3 linked regions of the Arabidopsis thaliana genome follow. The protein of the gene in region 1 interacts with the protein of each later gene in a pairwise test. Each region holds a gene or a part of one and is shown in the gene's direction. Other genes may lie near its edges. The genes, in order: NF-YA6, TT2 and AT5G09240.

Region 1 (4,836 bases):
GATGTATCATCCTCAAGCCTATTATCATCCAAATGGACAACCTCAGGTTTGACAGTAACACACAAGCCCTATTGAATTACTATTCCCACACACATACACAAAAAAAAAAAAAAAACATCAAAAGTCTAATGGTGATTGGAATTGGAATTGTGATGTAGTACCCACAGCAGCAAATGATACCTGGTCAGCAGCAGCAGCAAATGATACCTGGTCAGCAGCATCCTAGGCCAGTTTATTACATGCATCCTCCTCCTTACCCGCAGGTTATTATTTTTGCTAATAGTAGATTCCCTCTTTTTGTTCTTTTTTTATTTTTCTTTTACATAGTCGAAGAGTTAAAACTTTTGGATGCTGAAATCTCATCTCTGTATGTGTGTGTTTTGCAGGACATGCCATATCATAATAAAGGACGAGAGTAATAACTACTACTACCCGATGGTGATGATGTTTTTTTTTTTTGTGAAGGAAGTGTACGAACCCCTCTCTGGTTTTATCCACTCTCCCTTACCCAATCACTGAAACCATTTTCTTCTCTTTTTTAGATTCGCCTACTGATTTTGGTATTTCGTGTTGAAAACAAAAAGAAAGAAAAAAAGAAAGAAAAAAAACGATCTATCTGAAGTCTGTAGTACTGAGTGCACTCTCTCCTTTTTTTTGGCTGTATCAGAGATATAAAATTTAGAGTGTAGGTTGCTCTCATGCGTCTTTTACTTCGTCGTCTGCATATTTTTTTGTGTGTGTTGTGCTAAATTTCTGGGTGATTTTGTTATCTAAAATCCAAAAAGGATGCGGTTTAGATGAAAAGAATAGAAGAGTAACAACGATTTCAAAGCAGGCAGAACTAGTCATTTTTGGTGTTGTTGTAGGGCATGCTTTTTTCAATAAGTCGTTAAACGTTACTATAAGTAGTTGTCTCGCGATTATTATCATGATGATCGATATGACTCGGTGTATATGATTTGGTGGGCAACACATTCATGTTTTAAGATTCCACAAGAAAAAAATAAAATGGAATCAAACCTAGTTTTACCAGTCGCATATATTATTAGGTTAGGTGACTGCATTGAGTTGTTTATTTTTTACTTTTTTACGAGTCTCTCTCAACATTTATTGTTTTTGCTTTAAAGTGGAGATTTTAACCGTGGCTTGAGCTTGACACTTACGAATGATGTTGGGTCACCAATCTTCATCTAGAATTTACCTTATAATCACTTAGTTCAATTGCGAATCATGTTTTCGATGTATTTTCAACAACTTTTCACGAAACCAACTAACATATTTTACGGTCATCCGCTATGATAGAAAAACCGATGAATTTGCTAAGTTTGTTTCTTTCTTTTCAGTATGGATACCGAAATGAGACAAGAAAACAACGAATATTCAACTACAATACCTTACTTGTAATTGTAATGCTCTTTAAGAATCTATCAAAACTCATCGTTATGCAATTACTGATTTATTTCATGCGAGAAAAACCAAAAGTCCGGTCAAACAAAAAGGCAAGTGTGTCCTTATGTTGTGACGACGTGGTTTCATCATCCAAACACCGGACGTGAATATCACGCGCGCGTGGATTTCGGAACAGCGATGTGGCGGCTGTGAATACAAAGATATCAAGCAAGGTACACAGAATGTGTGTCTCTGTTTGTTTCTTTAATGGGACATTTTCACTTCATCAGAATCTGATCTCACCGTAAGCCTTTATACATAGTTGTACCCACTTTTTCTGTTTTAATCTTAAAGTTTACTATTTTTTCTAGTTGATAAAATGGAGTACTCATTATTTGTTACTAGTAGTAATTAATAAGGACAGAAAAAAAAAAAGGAAGAAGACAAGAGTGGTTCACAATCATAATGTAAACAACGAATAATAATAATTAATGTCCAGGTAAAAAGGTAGTGTTCATGGTGAATTAGTGGTGGCAAAAAAGTTGGTACTACTGGGAGAAAAAAAAAAAAAGGTTAGGTGAAGCTTTTTAGCCATAGCCAATAATACTACTCAATTTTGCAGAGACAGTGAAATGCTGAAATTGATAAAGAGAGAAAAAAAGAAGAAGAAAGAAGCCATGTTTTGAGGAAGGAGACATGCATCATCTCATCCTTTTATGATTTTTTTCTACATCTTCACCAAATCCATAGATTCTCTCTCCCTCTGATTTTTTGGTAAATTTGGTCGCTATATTTGACTACTTGTACTCTGCTTTGAGAAGAAAAATAAAACCATTTTTGGGTGATAGGTGAGAAAAAAATCTAAATACTTTTTTTGTTTCTTCTTTTTTAGTTATGTTCTGTTTTCTCGCTTGTTGTTTGGATCAATACTGTTCCAAGGTTGGTTTTATTTTCCCTTCTCAAGTTAGTGGAATTGCATGTTTGTGCTTTCTCTGTTTTTTTTATATCTAATTTGTAATCAAATCCGTTAATTCTCAAAGTCTGAATCTTTACTTTCTATTTTAGTATGGTAATAATTGGATCTGCTCTATGGTTTCTTTCTCTTAGATCTGTTGTTTGTTGCTTTTTCTTTGTGGATCAAGAATGGTTTTTGATTCCTTCCAAGTGAATAATGCAATATCAATATATCATGACTGGTTTTTTTACTTGATTGGAATTACAGGTGACTGAATAAACATCTCTTGTCTCTTGATGGATCTACTATGGTCTGGAGATTAGTTCGTTTATTGAACTAATGTTTTAGACAATGCAAGAGTTCCATAGTAGCAAAGATTCATTGCCTTGTCCTGCAACTTCTTGGGATAACTCTGTCTTCACCAACTCAAATGTCCAAGGATCATCATCCTTGACCGATAACAACACTTTAAGCTTGACAATGGAGATGAAACAAACTGGTTTTCAAATGCAGCACTATGATTCCTCCTCTACTCAATCCACTGGAGGAGAATCATATAGTGAAGTTGCTAGCTTAAGTGAACCTACTAATCGTTATGGCCACAACATTGTTGTCACTCATCTCTCAGGTCCACCACTTTTTAACCTTTTTCGCCTGAGTAAGAGTTCACATTGCTGCGTCAACTGCATTTAATTTTAGCTTATCTATGGTTTCTTGTTTTGGTGCAGGTTACAAAGAAAACCCGGAAAATCCTATTGGAAGTCATTCGATATCAAAGGTGTCTCAAGATTCAGTGGTTCTTCCTATTGAGGTTAATTATTAGACTATCATCTTTGACCTTATTATAAACCTTGTAGTAGTTCAAGATGAGACTGAGTTTAAAGCTGAATACTATCTTAATGATGTCTATATATGCTCACAGGCGGCTTCTTGGCCTTTACACGGCAATGTAACGCCACATTTCAATGGTTTCTTGTCTTTTCCTTATGCATCACAACACACGGTAATACACAATTGTAACATTTCAAGATAATACTGTTTCTTGTATCTTTATGAAAGTATTTGTTATGGAAATCTTTGCAGGTGCAGCATCCTCAAATCAGAGGGTTGGTTCCGTCTAGAATGCCTTTGCCTCACAACATTCCAGAGAACGAACCAATTTTCGTCAATGCAAAACAGTACCAAGCCATTCTCCGCCGCAGAGAGCGCCGTGCAAAGCTTGAAGCTCAGAACAAGCTCATCAAAGTCCGCAAAGTATGTTTGTTTATCTATATTGCACCACTCTGATAAATAGAATTATATGCAGAAAGTTTCAGTTATTATGTCAAGAGTCTTGACTCAAGACCAATTTTTTGTATGAAACTATGCAGCCATATCTTCACGAGTCGCGGCACCTCCATGCACTAAAGAGAGTTAGAGGCTCTGGTGGACGTTTCCTCAACACAAAGAAGCATCAAGAATCAAATTCCTCACTATCTCCTCCATTCTTGATTCCACCTCATGTCTTCAAGAACTCTCCAGGAAAGTTCCGGCAAATGGACATTTCAAGGGGTGGGGTTGTGTCTAGTGTCTCGACAACATCTTGCTCGGACATAACCGGGAACAACAACGACATGTTCCAGCAAAACCCACAATTCAGGTTCTCAGGTTATCCATCAAACCACCATGTCTCAGTCCTCATGTGAGAGAGCTCCGGCAAGTGGTGGATGAGATAATGAAGGGAAGTCATCCTTGGCTAATTTAAATCATTGATCCATTAAGTTTCTATCTTATAAATCTGCTTTCGTTCTACAAAAGAAGAAGAAATCTTTCAACTATTTTTTTTTTCCGTTGGCTGTTTATTTTATTTTATGTGATTGTTGCTGAATATTGTTTAATACTTGATTTAAGTTTATTAGTTTCGATTAAGTGCATCTGCATGGATTTGTGATTTATGTATAATTATTTGCTTTTAGAGCTCACGTTTGTTGCCTTTTATAGTCCATTTTCAAAAGAGATAAGATATTAGTCCCAGACTATACAACATAATCATATCTACTAGTAATCATATAAACCATAATTAGTAACAAGACCGATCACATGGTAATCACTTTTGGCTTTAGTCAAATATTGTGTGACATCTCATAATTCAAACGAAGTTGACCAACGCAAATAATCATGTTGGAACAAAATCATCTCATATATTATGTCTTCACGTTATCATTTCTCAATTTCTACAAACACCAAGTCTTTACGATTACATTCATTCACCTACCATTGATTGGACTTGGACATCTGTCTAAATCTCTGCTATCCTTCAGATTTTAGCACAAGATCCCATAGAGAAAAAGGATCTTCATATTTTTGATATTGGTGTGTCTCACGGCATGCAATGGCCCACTTTGCTGGAGGCTCAAAGCAATACCACAAGGACCTCCTCCTCGTGTTCGAATAACTGTCTTATCCGATCTCACCGAAGACATACCTTTCTCTGTTGGTCCACCAGCGTACAT
Region 2 (3,720 bases), on another chromosome or scaffold:
TGTTCATAACGCAAAACAATGTCAAAGTAAATTCAAACTACACGAAGTAAATGTATTGTATGACCACATATACAAAGTATAGGACGTCATGTGGTTAACACCATAGACATACAATTCCGATAAACCGGTCAGTTGACTCCGGCGTTGACTAGGGTTGACCGGCGTTGACCAACAAAAAAATTCAAAAAAATCTTTTAAATTATTTTAAATATTCAAAAATACAAAATATTTTTTTTTTGGTTTTGTATATTCAAAAACATATTCTATATTTCAATGCATTAAATCTTAGAAAAATTAGTTTTACAAAAAAAATCAAAATTTAACTAAAAATAGATTAAAAATCATTATTAAATTTTAAATTTTAAATGAAAACAGGAAAATATTATTATAGTTAATTAAGTAAGGAAATTGCTTATTTTTATAGTGTCAATTAAAACACTTCAATTATTTCTATACAATATTTTTTATAAAAAAAAATCAACCACAAAAATTATTAGAATAAAACGTAATACAAATGAATTTTATTTTAAAAACTTTTTTGCTGAAATCAACATTGTTAGATTTTCTATCTTTTTATATATTAAAAAGAAAAATTGCAAGTTTTTGGTTGTTTATGTGTTACTACGAGAACTTTTCTTAATAATATTTGTTACAAAAGGAACTACATAGTATACAAAAATAAATTTAGACTAAAGAGTATATAAAAAATATTATAATTTTCTTTACCATGCAAACTTTAGATTAAAGAGTCATATACTCAATTTCATATTGCTTCCTAATACAATTGAGTATATGACTCTTTAATCTAAAGTTTAATAATGATTTTTATTCTAGTTTTAGTTTAGTTTTGAAATTAAAAATAAAACTAATTATTATAAGATTTAATGCATTGAAAATACAAATATATTTTTACGAAATATAGAATATGTTTTTGAATATATAAAAGAAAAAAAATATTTTCGTATTTTTGAGTATTAAAAATAATTTTAAATTTTTTTGTTGGTCAACGCCGGTCAACACTAGTCAAAGCCTGAGTCAACTGACCGGTTTACCGGAATTGTATGTCAATGGTGTTAACCACATGACGTCCTATACTTCATATATGTGGTCATGTAATACATCTACTTCGTGTCTACTTCGTGTAGCTGGATATACAATGTATAGTAGGTATGTGTGACCATGTATTCTCTTATACTTTGTTTACCTAGCAATCTTTTTTTTAAATTAAAATAAATATGCGGTTTAGATATGAAACTACCCAACAAATTTAACATTTTAAACGTTCATAACGTAAAACGACGTCGTTATAGACACATATTTTCCATGTGTCTGCTGACTTATCATCTTCACGGAGTTGACTAACACCCGTTACTTTGACTCTGAATTTTGTACTTTTTCTTAAGTTGAGGTATGAAATTCAAATAAATATGCGGTTAATATATGAAAATACCCAACAAATTTTTTTGGATACGAAAATACACTCAGAAAATAGTACGGGTATGAAAATACCCTTTTCCCGTATTTGATACATGTCTAATTCGGTTCAAATAAACCGAATATGAAAATTTTCAGTTTTATTTCGGAAGTTAAATAAATCTAGATAACCGACCTGAAAAACCCGAGTCCCGACCGAACCGAACCGAAATTAAATTCGGTTTAATTCGGAAGCATTTCCAAAAACCGAAATTCCCTAAAACCGAATAACCCGACCCGATTAAACCGATTTGCCGAACTCCCAGGCCTAAATTCACACTTGGCTTAGAAAAACTCTTTGTAGATGTTAAAATTCGGTAAAATTAACCTCACCAAAGCTAATTATTACCAGGTGAAGAAAGCATTAAAATTTCAAAGTGTGTATGACAGAGGTTTTAGAAAGCGACTGATGTACGGACATATCAACAACTCCCCTATAAAGATACTCAGCTAAACACAAAAACAGAATCTATTCTCAACACAACACTAAAGACAATTGTACCAACCACACAACCACAAGAGAGAGAAAAGTGAGAATGGGAAAGAGAGCAACTACTAGTGTGAGGAGAGAAGAGTTAAACAGAGGAGCTTGGACTGATCATGAAGACAAGATCCTTAGAGATTACATCACCACTCACGGCGAAGGCAAATGGAGCACTCTCCCTAACCAAGCTGGTACTAATCTCTCTATCTACCGATCCGTCTTTATATCTTCTACGTACAATAATTGTCTTGGCACACATAAAAGGTCTCAAGAGGTGTGGCAAAAGCTGTAGACTTCGGTGGAAGAACTACCTAAGACCGGGGATAAAGCGCGGTAACATCTCATCTGATGAAGAAGAACTCATAATCCGTCTCCATAATCTTCTTGGAAACAGGTTTTTCACTAACCACATAGAATTTTCTTTTTGTAGTAAAGTTATTTGTTATGTGACATTATAATTAAAGCAGATGGTCGTTGATAGCTGGGAGGCTTCCAGGCCGAACAGACAATGAAATAAAGAATCATTGGAACTCAAACCTCCGCAAAAGACTTCCCAAAACTCAAACCAAGCAACCAAAACGTATAAAACATTCGACGAACAACGAGAATAATGTATGTGTTATACGTACAAAGGCGATTAGGTGCTCAAAGACTCTTCTCTTCTCGGATCTCTCTCTTCAGAAGAAGAGTAGTACTAGTCCACTACCTCTGAAAGAACAAGAGATGGATCAAGGTGGATCTTCGTTGATGGGAGATCTCGAATTCGATTTCGATAGGATCCATTCGGAGTTTCACTTCCCGGATTTGATGGATTTTGATGGTTTGGACTGTGGAAACGTTACATCTCTTGTTTCATCTAACGAGATTTTGGGAGAGTTGGTTCCTGCTCAAGGTAATCTCGATCTCAATAGACCTTTCACTTCTTGTCATCATCGTGGCGACGATGAAGATTGGCTCCGAGACTTCACTTGTTGAGCCTATATTGCAAAAACCTACGTTAATACATATTTCTCTATACGGACAAAAGTATATCTGTATTTGTCTGAACGCTTCTAATTACTAACTTACTAAGGAGACCAAGAAATACAAATAATTATACGATCCACATGTTATAGAAATGGGTTTTGTCTTTAACTAATAATTTTTTATTATTGCAAATACGTACGACATAAATATTTTTGATAGATTTTGTAAATTTATGTATGAGCAAATGATAGAGCTTTTATTATAACCTAACCACCGCTTAACCACCCAACCTATAAATTCTACTTGTGAATTATTGGTAATACGAATCAACTTTACAATTTTGTTATTACGAAATATTACTAGAATATACATGTATAGTCTATTTATAGGCAGGCATAGTCATTAATGTAAGGAATTTGTTCTTCTCATTTTTGGAATCATCGTATAAATAAATACTAGATGCATGGTTGTTCTAAGTCATGTGCCAGTACATATTTGAAAAACAAAACAAAGGAATATTCCGGATTTTCCCCCTATCTCCTGTATTTTATGGGTACAATTTAGAAGTTTATGTATTTTAAGGATACTAAAAAATCATGTATTTTATTGGACATCAAAAAGTGTTTGTATTTTAAAGGAAACTAGATTCTGACCCGCACATACGTGCGGGGTTTCATATTTTAAGAAATGTATTAGAATACATTTTTAGTGAAAGATATTGTAGTGTATAAATTATAATGTGCATAGAAAAGTGTATAGTGTTATTTATGATATAATAACTAAATTTTTTTTATTAA
Region 3 (3,723 bases), on another chromosome or scaffold:
TTCACCTTTCCCAAGCAAAAAAGCTCCCGCGTTTTCTCAAATTCGCGTTTATAAAAAAGCGTTCCGAATCAAAACAACTGTCACAGTTCTAATTTTATCACACGCTCTGCAACAGCGCGTGGTCGGTGAACACATTAACATAAATACGCGAGAAGAGACGCGCCGATTCATTTTTCTTCAGAATCTCTCAATTCTCTTTTGTCGATTTCGCAGTAGAAGAGTCCTTTCGCCGTCTCCGAGAAACTCGTTGCAGCGTCACGACCAGGTTTCCTTCTCACTTTTACTAAATTTTGTAATTGCTCGGTTTTTTGTTTAGTGCGAGTTTACTCTGGTCTGAAGAGAACATTTTGGGTCTGCTTATTTACAGTTGGAGAAAATGTCTTCTAGAGGAAAAAGGAAAGACGAAGATGTCAGAGCATCAGATGACGAATCTGAAACCCACGCGCCGGCTAAGAAAGTCGCAAAGCCAGCAGACGATTCCGACCAGTCTGACGATATCGTCGTCTGCAACGTTAGTCTACACTTTCTGTCTATCTTTCAATTTCGTTATCTACTCTATTAGCAGTGAGCTTATGGGTTTCGGTCAAGTTTTAATTTTGTTGATGTGTTTTGCTCAAAATTAGGGTTTTAATCAAATTAGGGTTCATGTTGGTTATACATCAGATATCTAAGAATAGGAGAGTCTCTGTAAGGAATTGGAACGGGAAGATTTGGATTGACATTCGTGAGTTCTATGTCAAGGACGGAAAGACTTTGCCTGGCAAGAAAGGTAACTTTATTTTGTAATTTAAACCAATGCCCCTTGGCTCTCATAATTCATTATTTCTAGTAATGTGTTTCCTCATCTCTTAGTTTTATATTTCGTTACTGTTTTGCTTTGTTAAGTTTCTGCATTTAGTCAGGTTTATAGAATTGCATATCTTAGGGTTTTATAATAGGCAATTCTGCTTATTGAGACTGTTTATGGACTTGTAAGTATGAGCGGAGATGGTGCAGAGTGTTTGCTTTTGTACAACAACGTTTTGTTTATTTTGGTGCTATTGCTCCTTCATGTCTTTCTCTAGAGACAGCTATATTAGTTTATCTCTACATAACTAATCATGTTGACAAGATTATCTCTATGTTTGTTATACGTTGCAGGTATCTCTCTAAGCGTGGATCAGGTACTCACATCTCTTTCTATCTCTCTCCACTGTTTTATGTCTCCTAGAAGTGTTTCTGTTTTCTTGTTATTTGCTTATTACACAGCTTTTCCTTAATGCAGTGGAACACTCTTCGGAACCACGCAGAGGATATCGAGAAGGCCCTCTCTGACCTTTCTTAGGTTTTAAAACTTGTATCATTGGTTGTACGTCTATTAGAATATGGCTCAGTTGTTTTGGTTGTTTTTGTAGAACAACACCATGTTCTGCTAGTGTAAGCTGCTTCAAATTAGTTGGTGTATGGAATCTTTCACTTTTGGTTCAGACAAGCTTTGGTTGGTATTAAGAATATAATGATTGCTCTTTTATTTACTGCTGTAGTGCTGTTTTATTTGCAAATTAAGATACGTTGCAGGAATACAAGTATTCATTTGATAAGTTATAAACAAGATAGGTCTAAATGTTACATAGCTCTTGCCAAACTTCACTTGATCCGGACAAGGCCATAAGCAGACATTGTCTTTGAAGATGAACCCATCACAATAAATGTATCACTCTGTGTTGCTACTTTCATTGCTATAGTTGCTCTTTTCCAAAGAATATTTACCTTCCCAAAAAACTCCCCCGTTTTAAGTTTGGCCGCGCGTGTTCTCAAACTGTGCGCTTGTAAAATGGCGTTCCGAATCTGATATCACAGTTGTAATTCGGTGAACGCAGTAGATATATTACGCGAGAAAAGGAGAGAGGTGCTTTTTATTTAACTTGAGAATCTCAAGAGTCAATTTTTGCAGTAGAAGAGTGTTTTTTTTAGAGGTTAAGAAAATGTCTGAGAACGGAAAAAGGAAAGACGAGGATGTCAGAGCATCAGACGACCGCGACGAATCTGAGACCCACGCGCCGCCTAAGAAAGTGGCAAAGCCAGCGGACGAGATTGAGGACATCTTCATCTGCAATGTTAGTCTCTCTACTATTCATCTCTTTTTTGTCTGTAGCAGTTCGTATGAGTTTTAGGGTTTGGATCAAGTTGTGATATTTGTTTATGATGTTATGTTTTGTTTACATTCCAGTTAGATAAGAATCGGAGAGTCTTTGTGAGGAATTGCAATGGGAGGATTTGGATTGCCATTCGTCAGTTCTTTGTCAAGGACGGTATAACTTTACCTTGTAATAGCAAGCAAGGTAAATTTTTGTTTTTAACTACATATCTTCTTTTGACTGTCTCTCTTCTTCTCACAATTCCACATTTGCTAATACTCTGTATCCTCCTCTCTTTTCTTTTTTATGGTCAACAATGTATCCTCATCCCTTTGTTTTCATGTTTTGTTTCGTTAAGGTTCTGCATTTAGTTAGCAGATCTTAGGGACTTTTATTATATATCTAGTACTTCTGCGGTTTGGGACTGAGAGGAGGAGATGCGCAGAGTGTTTTCTTTTCATCAACAACGTCTTGGTTTTTGTCTCCTAGGGCCAGCTATATTAGTTTGCTTTCTTTGCATAATCATGTTGACAAGATTTTCGATGTCTCCTATATGTTGCAGGTATCTCTCTAAGCCTGGAACAGGTATTCACATCTCTCTTCCATTGTTTATGTCTTCCACACGTGCATATGTCCTGCTTATTACACGAGACCTTTTTCTTAATGCAGTGGAACGATCTTCGGAACCATGAGGAGGATATCGATAAGGCCCTCTCTGAGCTTTCTGAGGTTTAAAAGCTTGTGTAATCGGGTATTGGAAGGTGGCTTTGGTTGTTTTGGTTTGTTTTTCAGAACAACACCATGTTCTGCAAGTGTTAGCTGCTTCGAGTTAGTTCATGTGTTGAATCTATTATTTGATGTTGATTACTCTTTTATTTGATGTTGGATTTACAACTTGAGATACGTTGCAGGAATACAAGCATTCATTTTGATTAGTTATAAATAATATATATAGGTGATCTAAATGATAACATAGCTCTTGCCAAAGTTTACTTAAATGATCCGGACATTGTGCTAGAGAGCTGGGACACTGAGCGATCCCACGTCAAGAACTCTGTGCAATATCTGCAGCAAACCAATCACGAAATGACAAATTATTAAGGCTGACAATCATGAAATAATATGGATATTTAAGGCATTTTCAAGGCTGAAGGAAAGGGAAGAGCTTTATGCTATGCTCATACCTCACCAACCCTAGCATTGATTTTCAATGGAACAATGTCATCAGCTCTTGTTTCGCCTATATTTACAATTGCGGTCATAGCACCAGCCTCATGAGCCGCTCTGCAAAAGGTATATAGAAAGCTTCTTAGTAAGATGCAAACTCAAAACTGGATGATTATTCTCCTGCATCACCTGCAAAGGCGAAAAGCAGACATTGTCATTAAGGATGAACCCAACACGAGGAATGCATCGCTCTGTTTTGCAACTTCCATTGCTTGAGTAGCTCTTTCCTTCGGGATGTTGTCTCCAAAGAAAATTACCTTCAATTCAACGAGAACATAATAAGAAACAGAGCTAAACTGATTCGTCTCTATCTGATTAAGTCAATCTTACATCAGGCTTTAGGACTCCTTTGCACTTCTCACATACTGGTATATGAAAA

The links.
Region 2: the proteins of NF-YA6 (region 1) and TT2 interact in a two-hybrid assay, tested with the Arabidopsis thaliana proteins (one large-scale study listed by BioGRID).
Region 3: the proteins of NF-YA6 (region 1) and AT5G09240 interact in a two-hybrid assay, tested with the Arabidopsis thaliana proteins (one large-scale study listed by BioGRID).

Annotation. Positions count from the first base shown.
Region 1 is NC_003074.8:4,640,273-4,645,108, forward strand, and holds NF-YA6 (nuclear factor Y, subunit A6), read left to right. Parts: upstream 1-1,657; 5' UTR 1,658-2,237; exon of another isoform or gene 2,238-2,242; intron 2,243-2,384; exon of another isoform or gene 2,385-2,611; 5' UTR 2,612-2,695; coding exon 2,696-2,972; intron 2,973-3,072; coding exon 3,073-3,155; intron 3,156-3,266; coding exon 3,267-3,347; intron 3,348-3,427; coding exon 3,428-3,598; intron 3,599-3,714; coding exon 3,715-4,029; 3' UTR 4,030-4,299; downstream 4,300-4,836. Other genes in the region: CID4 (CTC-interacting domain 4), read left to right, coding at 1-46, 159-263, 387-419.
Region 2 is NC_003076.8:13,724,798-13,728,517, forward strand, and holds TT2 (Duplicated homeodomain-like superfamily protein), read left to right. Parts: upstream 1-1,945; 5' UTR 1,946-2,009; coding exon of another isoform or gene 2,010-2,073; coding exon 2,074-2,351; intron 2,352-2,424; coding exon 2,425-2,932; 3' UTR 2,933-3,164; downstream 3,165-3,720. UniProt on the Arabidopsis thaliana protein: Transcription activator, when associated with BHLH2/EGL3/MYC146, BHLH12/MYC1, or BHLH42/TT8. Involved in the control of flavonoid late metabolism in developing siliques.
Region 3 is NC_003076.8:2,873,022-2,876,744, reverse strand, and holds AT5G09240 (ssDNA-binding transcriptional regulator), read left to right. Parts: upstream 1-1,895; 5' UTR 1,896-1,964; coding exon 1,965-2,096; intron 2,097-2,209; coding exon 2,210-2,321; intron 2,322-2,606; coding exon of another isoform or gene 2,607-2,679; coding exon 2,680-2,852; 3' UTR 2,853-3,085; downstream 3,086-3,723. Other genes in the region: KIWI (ssDNA-binding transcriptional regulator), read left to right, coding at 377-511, 664-769, 1,141-1,259; SRT2 (sirtuin 2), read right to left, coding at 3,132-3,182, 3,302-3,401, 3,474-3,601, 3,675-3,723.